Linked DNA regions of Tamandua tetradactyla. The protein of the gene in region 2 purifies or fractionates together with the protein of the main gene of each other region. This does not show direct contact. Links are inferred from orthologs where the notes say so. Each region holds a gene or a part of one and is shown on either strand. Other genes may lie near its edges.

Region 1 (7,558 bases), about 41 Mb from region 2:
TACAAAGTTCCCACATCCTAGCTTTTTCATTTTTTTAATCTTCAAGTTTCGGTTGGTGGAAGCAGTCTCTGAACTGGACCATACTAATCACCAATTCCTTACTATATGGCCCTGAGGTGCAAGCCCTTCTGCAGATGAGGATGTTTAGGTACAAAGTATACATGGCTCCTGTAACTGCTTTCCTTTTTTTGCATTCCTGTGACTTACATTGTATACATTATTTACAAGATGAGTCAAATTTGCATGTACTAAAATACAAAGTCCCAAACAGTGTCAAAGTTCCTGCCATCCCTTCCCCCTGGTTACCACTCACATCCTGCTATTATTTTCATAGATATAACAGTAAAAATGGACAAAACCAAAAAATTATCTCCACCAACTTGATCAAAATATGTTGAGTCAGAAATTCTCTGTAGTAATACTCTTGTAATTACAGAAGGGGATTCCTTTGTCAGCTACTCATCTGACTAGGCTGTACTTATATTTCATCACTATATATGAGCAGATATGTTGATTCAACAGGTTGTCATTCAATAGTCCATCAATCACATCTCTTTTTATCAGTAACTCCTATGTTTATCTTAAGCTACTGCCTTTTTTGCATATTAGCATGAAAGGCTCCCAGCACACAGGAAGCTGTCATTTCTTGTTCTCCTAGTAGGCATGTTTCATGGTAATCATGAAAAAAACCTTAATTAGATGGCGCAGATGCAAATATTAAAAAGATTCCTGGACATTACGTAAAAAGTTATTAAAAATGTTTAACACTTTTTGGAGCAACAAATGTATAAATACAACCTCTACAAGGAGCTAGTTATTTTACCACTAGTGTCTTCCATGAATAACCACAGTTATTTTATGTTACAATTTATAAACTATTGGTGAGTTTTGCAACAAATTTTAAGCCATTAAGGAATCACTTAAGTTCCTTAAGAGTAAGTAAAACTTTTTCCCTGGCACGTGTTTTCAGCCCCCATTCAAGTTTAGTAATTTGCACTGTAAATCTGATTCTATCTACTCCTATGTCTAAAAATAAACGATAGATTTAATGGTGCTGTTACATACACCACGCAATGTAGGATAGTAGAAGTGGGGGGAAAAAATCATATTCCAAACAAGCAGGAAAAGCTGTACTTAAGAGCAAAATGTACAAACATGCATCCCATGCCTAACCACTCTCAGGCATGTTTTCTTTCTGCCACCCCTCCCCCACCGGTAAATGCTAACTTTTCTAGAACTCTCAGTGATCATTTGGGAGAATTGCCATAAAATCCCATGATACAACCCAACATAAATGCCGTTTTCCTTAAGACAAAGCTGCCCTATTTCCCTAGACTATATACTTTTTAACATGGCGAGAACATGCAGCACCAAAAATCAGAATTACTAAAATACACCAATGTAGCATGAGTCTTACTTAACCAAAATGAAAATGAATGCCACTGGGAAACCCAAAAACTCACTCTCTGTATCGTCGATGTGTAACCAAGATATTATAAGTTGTTTTAGGTAAGTAGATAAAAGCACCACCAGGGCCTTCTATTACCCAATCTAGTGCAGGAGTCTTTAGTAAAAAAGGGGGAGGAAGACTACTTAATTATATACCTGGGGGGAGGGGGGAGATAAACCATTCAGACTAAAAATAACTCACCATTTCACCCACCATATTTTATTAGCAAGCTTGTTTAGACCAGCACAAGATTCTTGTTTGGAAAGCAGGAAAGCCAACAGAAAACTTCCCTAAGTCAACTGTAAATCACATAGGTTCTAACACCTCACTTTTGATGCTGCACAGTCCTAGGTTTTAAAAGCCACCTCAAGACACTCGGAAGATCTAATTTTCAACTAGGCTGCAACACTTCTCCTTTGAAATCGCCAAATTATTTTTAAGTGAATGTGAGCAGATATCCTAACAAAGGGAGCATTTTCTAAAAAGCCATTACCACCCCTATTTTACATGTAGCACACCATTTTCACAACAAATTTAATCTCGGTCGCCACCGCAAAGTGATGCCTGTTTCAGCAAATTAGGAACTTCCAAAAATACTGAACATGTTAATACATGCATGGCCTCCCTCGAGCTGCCATTTAAGATCAATACTTCACTTGCACAAAAGTCTGCTTCTGTTCAGGAAAAAAAAAAAAACGGTATCTTTTGCAAAAGGGGAAGTTACCGCGAAACCACCCTCCCAACGTGGCCTTTCCACCGTCAGAAAATGATGGGACTCTGTGCCACCCAAAACTTACCAGGAAGCTGGCAATAACTTTGCCAATTCTACACTTCTGAACCCAACTTCAAAGAGGGTCTAGCACATACCTCCTTCAGACGATACAAAGCACTAAGTTCCCGAGAAGCCCGTCCCCCAGCGCGGCCAGGCGGCCGGCGCGCCCCTCCCCCGGCCGGTGCCCCCGCCCCGGACGCGCCCCCCCCCCCGGCCGCCCGCAGCCCCCCAACACGAGGGCCGGGGCCGCGCCCGAGAAGGGGGCCGGCTCCCATCACTGCTGGAGGTTTAACCCAATAACATGCACGGAAAAGAGCTTTCTCCTCCGCTAAAAATAGGCTTATAAAGGAGTCGGCCTCATGATGGCTCCTTGATTCAATTTGCAGCAAATTCTTTCCCTGAAAGCCTCTCCCCCCCACCATCACACACACATAGAAAAAAGGGGGTGTAAATGCACGGAGGGGGGAAGGCGGGGGGTGAGGCCAAGGCGCACATTTTCGGGGACAACAACCAAAGGGTGAGGATCCCCCCGAGAACAGGGGAGGGTAGGGGCTGGGCAGGCACGTGAGCACCGCAAAGAAGCCAGCCAGAGGAGAAAAGGCGGGGGTGGGGGCGCCCTAAACGCCCTCCCTCTCCTCCCCTCCCCCACCCGCACGCCGGCTCCCCGAAGGGCCAAGTTAAAGAACCCAGCGTCCACTCGCGCCCATCCCCCCCGCAGCCGCACGGCCTGGCGCGACTCCCCCACCCCCCGCCGCCTCCGCCCGCGCCCCCCCCCCGGCCCGGCCCGCCCCCACCCCAGGGTCGGGGCCCCCACATCTTACCTGGACCAGGGCGGCCGCCGACGGCGCTCCCCCCTCCCGGGAATGGAGGCGCAAGGAAACTCCCCTCCCAGCCGCCGCCGCCGCCGCCGCCTCCAACCACCCCCAAAATAACCCCTCCGGGGGGTGAGAGGCAATTATAACCCCGGCGAGCGCGGGGCGCGGGGGCTGGGCGCGGGCGGGCGGGCGGGGGCGGGGAGGCGGCGCGGGTCCCCAGGTGGCGAGCGGAGGTGCTCCCGCCGCGGGGGGGGGGCGGGGGCGCGCACGGCCGGCGGCGGGGGGGGGGGGGCGGCGCGCGGGGGCAGGGCGCGAGCGGGCCGAGGAATTGAGGCAGAAGGGAAAAGCTGTTACTAAGGGAAAGAGCCAAACGGTTCGGAGCAGCCAACGGCTCCGCCACTCCACACCGGGGAGAGGGAGCGGGGACCAGCCAGGCGCAAATGAGCTCGCGAGGCCCGCGGCGGCGGCGGCGGCGGCGGCGGCGGCCGCGCAGCAAAACAAACCCGGGCGGCCTGCGCGGGGCGGGCGGGGGCGGGGAGGGGGAGGGGCGCCGGCGGCAGCGCGGCGGGGGGGCGGGGGGGGGCGCCGGCGGCCGAGCTCCTCTTCCCCTCCCCGCCCGCTGCGGCGGGGCTGGGGGCTGGGCGGCTGCGGCGCCGTCTCGGAGGAATGCAGCCCCGCGGCGCCGCGGGGGCACCGGGCGCCCCGCCCCCACCGTCCCCCACCGCCCGGGCGTTGGGCGGCTTTGGGTGTTGGTCGCGCGGCCCGAGGCCCCGGTGGGGGCGGGGCGCCCCTGGGTGCCGGTGCGCACTCGTGGGCACGTGCGGGGCGCGCGGCGCACGCATCCGGGGGACGTTGGTTGGGGGAAGGCTCTGGGCACACCTTTGTGTGCGTCCGTCCGCAGGGTTCTCGGAAGCGTACCTGCAAAGGTGTTATACCTGTGATGAGCGATATTTTTAACAAACGTAATCCAGAGCGTGGGATCTGTAGAGAAAACACACACATACACACACACACACATACACACACACACATATACACACACACACACAAGGTTTTTTTTGATACCAAACACAAAGCTGTCGTTGAAGTGTTTATGCCCAGATGTACTGGAGAATCAAACATACCGTGGGATTTACCGTGGGGTGGGTCTGATTGAAAGGGTTGGCCGGTCAGTTCTCATTTTTCAAAGATAAAATAATGTAACTGAGTGTTGGCTAAATATGTTCCTGTGCGGCATCCTCGACGGCACATGTTTATGCGCTGTGTGCACTTTGTGCGGGGTGTAGCACATCAGGGCAGCTTATTAAGTCTAACTTAGGTGAGTGATAATGTGACAGTGTGATTGCAGAAGGGAGGCGCCTCACAGTTTTTAAAACAAATGTGGCATTAATCTTTCTAATGCTCTCAGAAAGCAGGAATGGGGTTTTGACCTTTGTATAAGCCTGGAACATTAAAAGCAGCTTCCCTTTGATTTTAAAGTATGACTTGAAAGCAGTCTTTTTCTTGTTATTTTCAGTGATTACTGTCTTCAAAGCAAAATAATACTTTTGGCCGCCTTCTTAGGTGAGCGTTCTGTTTTTATACTTTCATCACAATATTTGCGAATAGGTGTAGTGGTTATTTTACGGCAATAGTCTTCTCCTGTCCTATGAGAGACCTAAGTTTTCACGTCAAAGAGGGAAAAATCATCACTTGAAGTGGTTTCTACAGGACTGAGTCCCGGGTGGCCTGATAAGCGGGATGTTTAGAGCAGGTGCTTTTTTTCTTTGGCCCAGTTTCCCCCGTGAGCCCCTGCCTAATGGGGAGCGGCCCAAGGCCTTTCCTGGCCGGCATAGGGCGGGGGTGGGCAGGAAAAACCGAAGAGAAAGGCAGCGGGTTTGGAAACTCCCTCCCAACCAGGAGAGAGTTCAAAGCCTATCAGTGGTGTGTCCTTAGAGCTATTTTCGTATATGAAAGAGGGAATGTTAGATTAAACAATGTCACCCGATGGGAATTTAGATAACTGCAGGTTTCCAAAACACTGTGTGCAGGGTACAGGCAAACAGCACAAAAAAAGCAAGTTTCACATTTCAGGAGGACTCTAAAGGTGAGGCCCATCTATCACAGAACTCTTTTGGAAGCGATGAGAGTGAAGTATCTTTCTATTTAAATATATATATATATCTTTTTAAGAGTTGATTAATGACGTGTATGTCACTAGCATTTCTGTTCTGTAAGTAAAGTGACTCAATACGATTAGGGTTCATTATCTCAGCCACCCAATGAAACGAATCCATTGGCCTAGATTGTTTTTCAGGTTTGACGTTGTGCCACTCAGGGGTCTTCTCCAGAAAGCTGCTGCTAGAAACTGAAGCCACCCTTCCAGTGAATGAGGACTTCCCAACCTTAAAAGGATACTCTCCAAATTGGGGGCCCCAGCCTTATCCTCCCGCATAATGTCCCTATTCCTTACCCCACTCCCTTCCTTAAGGGACATATGGTCCAGGGCTTCAGGCGCCAAGGTTTTGCACCCTATGGCCGCCTCCTCCCCTAACAAGTTGTTTGGTATTAACTGAGCCTCATCTCAAGGATAAGAATAACCCATACATTTGCTTACTGCATCATAGTTTACAAGATATTTATGCGCATAAATTACTACATTTGCACACCACAATAAAAATCACCAAAGGTGGGAACTTATGCTGTTCACTGCAGAGAGAACTGGAAAGAGAACCTTTGAGCAAACGATGCACCTAAATGTAGAAAAACCTCGATTCCCCTACGAAAGGGGTTTTTAACCACGTTCTGGTCTATTGATTCCTATACTTTAAGACCCTATCTAGGATGACAAAATGCCTTAAACATGAAATAAATAAGCTGCCGTACGAGGTCATATGTGTAGTTTATCTCTGTCCATTCCAGTGCATCTGGTAGATCAAGCAAAAATTCGACACATGGGGTGAGGTAAGGACAAAGAGAAGCAAATATTGTTAATAATTTTCAGGGTTTTGTCCTAATCTAAAAACTGTCCTTATGCTTTGACTATAAATGTTAATATGTTTCTAGAAAAGAGAAATTACTCTGTTACTAAGAAATTCTAAAGCAAAGGGACACATTATTAAGAAAGTTCTCTTGAACCTTCTAGCTAATTACCCAACAGATACCTCATACTGGTAACTGTTACCAGAAGTTACGTATGTGTTGTAAAATGACTAAACACACCCTGACTTGTTTTACATCACTACTATTACACCCGGGGGGATGCGGTACCACAAGATAGCCTACACCTGGGCAACTTTCATGGCTCAGGAAATAGAATGTTTTAAAGTAGCTTCATCCCAGCCTACAGGAACTCATTACTATGTATATGTATTTCAAGGCCACCATGATCTTTTAAATTGTTTACATTAGCCAGTCCTATGTAATTAAAGTGTTCAAAACAAGCTTAATAGCATGAAAAGGATATCTGATACCCCAAATATTATCCTGATGCTATAACTGTGTTTATATTCTGCACTCACCCCAAACTCAGTGGCTTTGTGTCCGTAGCGTTCACCCCCAGGCATCCTGCAGATGCCCTGTGATATTTGTGTTTCATTTTTACTCAACGTGTGCAATTCTTTGTCCGTGGCTCTTCAGCTACCAGTTTCTGCCATCTGAACGGATGTGCATCTCAGCCACACATCTCGCCATCTCAGCACACAAGCTCCCTTCCTCCATCTGTGCTTAGCATGCTGCTTATGACCTTCCCTCATCAGTGTGACCTTTGTCATAGTTTTCCATGCCTCTGTGACCTGATTTCATTACAACAGTGAACTCTACTTATCTTAATCTAAATTACAAAAGAAACACGCAACCATCTTGGAAGTATTTATGCCACTTGGGTGATGGAAATGCAGGGCTTATCTTGGGTTTGTGATTCAGTGAGAATGGAAAACTGGGCGCATACACATTATATTGCTGCCCTAGTCTCTCACTCACTTTCTCAGGGCATTGCATTATGCCAATGGTTTTGCTTTTCATTCATTCAACAAATATTTATCTTTTATCAAACAAGATAGAAGTTTCTCTTTTATGTGACATACCCATGTAAACAGTCCAGTGCTGATAGACTGAGATTGGGCGGGCAAGGGTGGCTCAGTGGCAACAGTTCTTGCCTGCCATGCCTTAGACCTGGGTTCATTTCCCGGGTGCCTGGCCATGTTAAAAAAAAAAGAGTGGGATTACTTGCTCTCTCAAAATAGAGCTTCCACTCAATGATGTAAGAAGACTTCTCCAGCTCCTACCCGCACACTCAAATTCTAGCCGTGAGGCCCAGAAGCAGGGGAATGAGAGCTCGTCCCTTGCCTTGCAGGGCATGTCCTGGAAGTCGCACTTGTCACTTCCACTCGCACCCCATTGGCCAGACCTTAGTCACATGCTAAAACTGCTAGTAAATCAGAAATGACAACCAAGCTTAAGTAGAAGAAGGAGAAGAGGGACTTTGGGGGGTGCCTTATTTTATAGGGGTAATTTGGAGAAGGCTGTTCACTGAAGGTGACA
Region 2 (7,403 bases):
AAACTGCCAAGTTATCCTAAATTTTTCCCTTTTGGTTTACCTTTCTTTCCTGAAAATATGAAAGTGGTTGATGAGACTTACATGTAAAGCACATGTTGATTAGTTTTATGTCCTAAGCTTAAAATTCTGTATGTTTTTTAATGCAGATGTGGAATTAGAAGAAGCTATTAGAAGAAGTCTTGAGGAAATGTAATTAAAGATATTACCACACAACATCAAGTGGCCTTGAAGATACTCTCAGGATAATGAATTCTTGAGTTTGTTTTCTAAAAGAGACAAGAAATCTACTAGCACAAGTGTATTTGAGAACATGCTTTTGCATTCACATGTTCAAAATCTGATATTTTCTTTCTGTTTGTGTGTAGTTGTACACAGATATACAGAAAGCACAGAATACTGTGCTAACAGATAAAAATCATGTAATCTAATATAAAAATTACAGTTTCCCAGTTAATTTTGAATGCCTATATTTAGATTAAAAGGATTCTTAAAAAAAAGAAAGGAAAGCTCTTGGTTATGGTCTGTATGTTTCCCAAATATCATTAGTCTTTAATTTTTTTTGTACTGTACAGATGATTCTAGTTTTATTTTTTTAGGAGTGAAAATGAATATAAATAAGTTGCTATAGCTCAGATTTCCTGTAAATTCTACTTCTCATGTGATATATCTTTCATATCTTTGTGGTTATTAGAAAAGAGTAATGAAAACTGATCATGGAAACAGATTAAAATTTTTACCAGCAGTGTTTTTTGTGAGTTTTACTGAAGTGTATATTTCTGCTTTAATTAGATATAACACATTGCTGGGATGAAAAAACGTAACTAATTTTTTTTTGCGATAATTAAAAGGCAGCCTTTTCCATTCCTTTTACCTGCTTAAACTTTTATATGACTTCTATGATCTGTTGTTTAAAAGGAATGCTAAAATATTTGCATAAAATTAAATTTATTTTTAATAATCTTAGTCCTTTTTCTTTTTACATAGCTGTGTAAACTTTTTATTCTTCAAAAATAATGAAGTCTACTCAGGAATATTCCTTACCCTTTAAATTTTTTATTACATATGGAAGTATTTTCATTTGAATTATTCATTGGATTAATCTCAGTTTCCTACATTTGATATTATATATTTAAGTTTTCAATGTTGAAGCCCCATTATAAATAGTAGAACACATTACATAAGTAGAAGACTATGAAGAGCTTGCCATACCTCTATTTGTGTATATGTTTCGTGTTTTTTGACCAGAAATGTCCTACCCCTAAAAGTTTTGAGTAGTAATTTCTCACCAAATTTTAAAATATTTCTATAAATCTAAAGCTTTCTTAAGATGAAAAAATGCCACAGCTAGCATTTTGTTCTTTCTCTGCGACACTGGATATTTTATTGTGAAATGGGATTACTGATGCTTTAATTGCTCTTGTCTTTTCAGTCCACACTGGAAACCAGTGTTTTTTAAGATGTCAATTTTGTTCTTCCCTGCTTGTATTTTTAAGACATATAGGATGAGAATTTACCAATCATCTTTCCAAAATGACCACATCATGCTTTTAATTTGTAAGTTAAAGTTGTCAACCAAGTCTTTAGAGGTAGTCAATGGGTTGTATCATCAAGATATCTTCAGGAGCTTGCTAAATAGTGAGGAACAGAAGGGACATTACAGGAAGAAGAGTGGTTAAAGCAGATGTGGAGCAATAGGAGGCAGCACCTCTTTTCCAGTGGTTCCACACATGGGTGTGATGTACACTGATTATTCAGAAGCTTTGTGGTGTGTATGGCAGAGAATAACAAGCTTTTGATATGACAAGAAGGGGATATTCATCATGATCCTAAAGAAAATGTAATTGTGGTGTTTCAAGTTTTAATCAATAATTGTCACCAATTGTATTTCTACTTGTTAAGCAATTAAAAATCATTTAAAAATTACATCATAATTTGCAATTAACTTAGACCCAAGAAGAAGGTATAATCAATGGATTACCTTACAGAAAGTTTTATGGGTTATTATCAAAAATGCTTTTTTTTCATTTCATCATTCATGAAGTATTTATTTATTTATTTATTTATTATTTATGTGTCAGGAACTATTCTAAGCACTTGGGATATACCAGTGAGCAAAACAGAGCCCCCTCTGTGGAGTGCACATTGGGGAGAGGAGGTTTGATAGAGTCATAGATAATAAGCAATTAAAAAAGTATATCTGATGGTGATACATGTAATGAAGGAAAATAAAGAAGGGAAAGAAAGGATGGTGGGTAGTATAGGGGTTGGTGTGTAGGAGGCTTGCTATTTTTAATAGGATGATCAGAAATGAGCTCACAGATAGGGAAATGTGAGCAAAGTCCTGAACAAAGTGAGGACCGAATCATGCAAATATACATAAGGAAGAGTGTTCCAGGTAGAAGGAACTAAGTGAAAAGGCCTAGACATGACTTTGGCATATTCATAGGATAGCAAGAAAGCTAGTGTGGCTGAAGCAGGGTAAGCTAGGAGAGTAATAAGAGATGAGGTCAGAGAAATAAAGGGAGCTGCACATTTAGGGTCGAGGTCTTTCTAAGGACTTGTACTCTGAGATGAGCAATAGAAGGTTTTTGAGAATAAGTGTGATCAGCCTTATTTAAAAGTATTACTGTAGTTACTGTATTAAGGATAGACAGGTGAGGCAAGAGTAGAAGCAGGTAGATCACATAGGAGGGTTTTGCAGTAACCCAAGTGAGAATTGATGATGCTTGGACTACATTAGTGGCAGTGAAGTTGGGGAGAAGAATCTGGGTGTATTCCGAAGATACAGCTGATGGACTTTACTAATGGATTGGATCTAGGATATGAAAAAAAAGAGTCCAGAACGATTATAAGTTACTTGATAGACTTTCAAACCTTAAAAAAATGTCTTTGGATTCCAAATTACTGAGATCAAATCATACACTACACCAGAAGTTTATTAATATATAGAATAAATTAGAATTAGAATCCAGACCTAAGGGTCTCAGCTCTGTTCATGTGTTTAAATGGCTTTGACCTCTAAAGTCTGTAATTCAGCTTTAAACTCATTTTCTGTGCCTCCTACATGTTTATTCCTTGCTTATGAAACTGAGATGGGAACAAAACATTTTTTTCCCTTTAAGTAGACATGTCTTTGCATTCCTAACCCTATCCATCTTTTCCTGATCTTTATGGTGTCTGACCTAGTAGCCTACCAATCTTGTCATTATTGTTAAGTTAAAATATTTGGATGTGAAATGGCTTTTTTAGTTAATACCGATTATTTCACTCAGATTCCCAAAGGAATAATTTTTTTGAATAAAGAGAAAAAAAAGTCATTAAATACCCCTTCATTGAATGGGTAGAAATGAAGTATAAATTCACTTTGCTTCTGTCAACCAAGAAATAAATTAAGTTGCGAGACAACAGAAGCGTTTATTTGGGGTATTAGAATTGCAATTCAGGGAGCATATATTTAGGTAGCAACCCAAATCGTGTCCCTCTTGGCATTTCCAGACAAGGGTTTTTAAAGGAAAAGATTAGATAAGTTGTTTGTAGTTGGACATTTGGGATACTCCACATGTCCTTCAGGTTAATAGTTTACTGAGTTCTTTATCTTTCGGTTTATGTGTCTGGATGTCCTTAGGATTTTGAAGAACATAGTTGCTTGAAGTTTAGCATACTTTGGCAGTTCGTGATCTCTGGCAGAGCCCTGTAAAAGAGTAACGCTCCGTAATGAGCTCCTGACTCCATTTTAAATTTCTTAGCCATGGTAACTGTACTTTGTTATTTCTTTTAACACGTCCCACATCCCGCTAGACAGAAAAAAAGCGTGGTAGCCTTTTCTTTTTTTCTCTATAGCTTCACTGTTGGTATTTAGGCTTATTCTAATCGGAGGTGTGACAGGACAGAGTTGTATCTCAGTGCCTTCTGCTCATGTCCGAGGACTTTTGTTCTTGCCGGGAGAAACTAAATGAAGCCATCATTGAGCACTACATTCACAGCCTGCTTCCAGGAACGCTGCGGGGGCGGAAGAGGGGTACTTTCAGGCTGCAAGGAGAATCGGGGCTTACTACTGGGGCCGAGGGGTGGTGTTTTGTGGTCTCCACACTGGTTTCGGGTTGTTTCAGGGTTCCGGGAGAAGAACCAGCAGATCACATTAGGTCCTTCCCGCTTTCTCTGTCCGTCACTTCAGGTGTTTCTGAAGCTGCTTGGTTTTGCTCCTCAGGCCCCAGTGGCTAGCAAGTCCTCCCCGCCCCCAGCCGCCGCAGCCCCCACCCAGGCCCCGGGCCCGTCCGACCCTAGCCCCGAGGGGCGCCTGCTCTCGGCCACGCGGCGGTGGCAGCGGCAGTGTCGGCACAGCCTCCCGGGCCGCCCCCCGCGGGCGTCAGAGGGAGGCGGGCGCCCCGCGCGGTGACGGCAACGCTTGCGGCCGCGGGAACACTCGACTCGCCGCTGCCAGGGCCGGTGACCTCTTGGCTGCCCCTTTCGGAGTCTCAGATGGCTCAGGCGAAGATCAACGCGAAAGCCAACGAGGGGCGCTTCTGCCGCTCCTCCTCCATGGCCGACCGCTCTAGCCGCCTGCTGGAGAGCCTGGACCAGCTGGAGCTCAGGTGAGGGCGGCGCGTGGGGCCGCGCGGGCGGGGGGCGCCCTGGGGGCCGCGCAGGCGGTTCGCGGGCGGAGGCCGAGCGGCGGGTCCGAGCCTGCGCGCAGCTTCGGGGCAGGCCAGCTGAGGCGCTGCGAGAGAAGTGCTTGCTTGAGACTTGTTTCTGTGAATTTTCTTCTCCTTCTCTGAGAGAAAACTGAATCGATTTAAGATAAACCTCTGTGGTCACATTGTCATTCACAGACCTGTTCGTTTGGGAGTGGAGAAAAATCAGAAAAGATAAAACTTACAGTGACACTGTTGGAGATTACAGACTGAAACCTCGGGTCCGCAGAATTTCTAGAACCTTCTCTGTGCCTATATATGGTCTTCACAGATGCTTGTTACTTTACTCCTTTCCCATTGTGCATTTTAAGGGAGGCAGCAGTTTCCAGTCTCTCCCCCCCCCCACCCCCAAAGTGAAGTGATTAATTTCCTTGCTCTAAAACGCTTCAGAGCAAAGGAAGGAGTGGTGGTGAGCTCCAGGAATCCATCCTATAGCAAAGATTAGAGAAGAGAGTAGAACAGATGCAAGACTGAGAGGTGAACAGTAGCTGGGAGCATTTTGTGGAATCGAGGCACTACAGCTTCCTTTTCTCTGTGACCGCGCGTACTGTACTCAGCCATTCTTTTACCTAGTTACGTAGAAGACACTGTTGACACCGTCTTGAAAGGTGATAGTCACTGTGGCCTGAAAGCTTGTAAACATAGTCGGTTTTTCTGTTTTACTTGTTACAAGATTTCTTTAAATCACATAGTGGTAGGTGTGTATAGAATTTCTAAATCATTTAGAATAAATTTTGGAAATGCTCTTTTCTTTCCTGTAAACGTTTATGTCTCTAAATTTCGATCACATGCAGATGTGCTTGGATGAAAATCTTAGGAAGGCACGTAAGGAACCCAAATTGTGCGCAAATTTTGTTCAATAGTTATCACGTATAAATAAATATGTGAGCCATAAAGTTTAAGAAGCACTGCATGTGTGTTTTTATCTCCCTTGATTAATATGTCAAAGCAAGAGGTATCCATTTGCCAAGAAACGTACATTAATAACCACAGTATTCTCTTAGCAACTGAGGAACTGAGGCATTTATTATTATTACTACCCAGAAAAGAGTCGAAGCGGGAGACATTCACCATGCACGATTTCGTGGATGGCAAACACAGAAACCATTTCTGGGATTCTGCTCAGAATGAGACAAATGGAACAACAGAGAAGTAATGATTCCATGTGTATTTCCACAAAACTAGTAAACCTGACCTGTTCAACCCCTCAGAGAAAGTGGAGCAAAACTAGAGTTCAGTGCCTCTGCTTCTTTTGTCCCTCTGATTTTTTTTTTTAATGTAGCAGTGTAAAAAGTAACTCACATTTTTGCAGCCTTTAAAATTAAGTAGGCATGATTTCAGGTGTTTTCAGGAATCTCTCTCCCTAATTCAGAATGAAAGAATTTTTCTTAAAGGAATGAGAGGGGTGTTGCATATTCTTTCAAGCTGAGTCACTGCCCTCGAACTTAAAGTAAGGCTTCATATATGGGTAGGTACAAAAGCACTCACGTGCTCCTCTTTAAAGAAGGCTTCTGGTTTTGAATATTATTATAGTCAAATATTTGAGTAATGTAAATGTATTCTAATTATTGCACATAAGCGATTAAATTACTTTGCTTAATTAACCTTGAATTATGAGGAAACATTACTGATTAATATCCATCTGTTTATTTCAAGGACATTTCTAGTAATTTCGAACTTTTAAAGCTTTGTTTCTTACTTTTAAAAAAATACCGACTGTACAGCACAAACTGAACCCTAATGTAAACCATAGACTATAATTAATAGTACAATTATAAAAAAATGTTATTGTCATCATTTGTAACAATGCTAATGGTCCATGCAAGCATGCTAATGCAAGCTGTTAATTATAGGGTGGATATAGGAACTCTGCATTTTATACATGATTTTTCAACAACTTCTCTAATTAGAAAAAAAAAGAAAAAATATTGACTGAAAACTTAAGAAGTATTTTAGAAGGTTAGCTAAACAGAGAAAAATGCTAATACTGATCCTATTAACATTAATTGAAACCATGGGCAACATCCCAGCCAGAGCTTACACTATTAAAAAAAAACTAGAATCATGCCTCAAGGATCAGTTTTTAAAAGAAACTAACATGAAATTCATGTTGTTGGTAACAGTTTAATTTCATATTAAAAATAACTAACAAAACAGTGTATTAGGTAGAGTGAAAATTATGGTTCATACTTAGATGCATGCATTTACTTACTGTTCCCCTACTATGCTGGTTTTGTTGATAATGGAAGAAACTTCTTCCATATGAAACTAAAAAAAGGATTAATACTAAATGCGTTACCTGGTATGAAATGGTGTATATGATGTTTAAAGAGCTTTAAAATGTTTTTGGCAGCATTCTACAAATTGTTGAAGATTTCCATTTGTTTCTAATACTTTATCGTGACACTAATTTTTCTTTTTTTATTCCATCTCCTTTATTCTTTTCCTCCTAAAGAGGTCATTCCTTCTTTGTTTTTCATAACCAATTCTAAGCATTCTGAATTTTGCATTTGGTAGTAGCTTAACATACCTTACTTATTGTTGCTTTTTAAAGTTATTGCAATTGTAATTACTTATTAAGAAACAAACACAGGCTAACTTTATTCATCTCATGAGCACTGAGTTTCATGCCAGGCTCTGTACCTTTGTGGAACTTATTCTGCAGATGGAAATTTAAAGCTTAAAAAGTTAAACGACTTGCCTAAGGTCACA

Evidence for each region.
Region 1: the proteins of BAG2 (region 2) and TBL1XR1 purify together in Homo sapiens (affinity purification with mass spectrometry; 3 studies listed by BioGRID and IntAct, with this or other methods). This does not show direct contact. The link is inferred for Tamandua tetradactyla from reciprocal best matches to the Homo sapiens genes BAG2 and TBL1XR1.

What each region holds. Positions count from the first base shown.
Region 1 is NC_135331.1:75,025,006-75,032,563, forward strand, and holds the start of TBL1XR1 (F-box-like/WD repeat-containing protein TBL1XR1), read right to left. Parts: upstream 3,083-7,558; 5' UTR 3,044-3,082; intron 2,372-3,043; exon of another isoform or gene 2,248-2,371; intron 1-2,247. UniProt on the Homo sapiens protein: F-box-like protein involved in the recruitment of the ubiquitin/19S proteasome complex to nuclear receptor-regulated transcription units. Plays an essential role in transcription activation mediated by nuclear receptors.
Region 2 is NC_135331.1:116,192,841-116,200,243, forward strand, and holds the start of BAG2 (BAG family molecular chaperone regulator 2), read left to right. Parts: upstream 1-4,392; 5' UTR 4,393-4,479; coding exon 4,480-4,592; intron 4,593-7,403. UniProt on the Homo sapiens protein: Co-chaperone for HSP70 and HSC70 chaperone proteins. Acts as a nucleotide-exchange factor (NEF) promoting the release of ADP from the HSP70 and HSC70 proteins thereby triggering client/substrate protein release.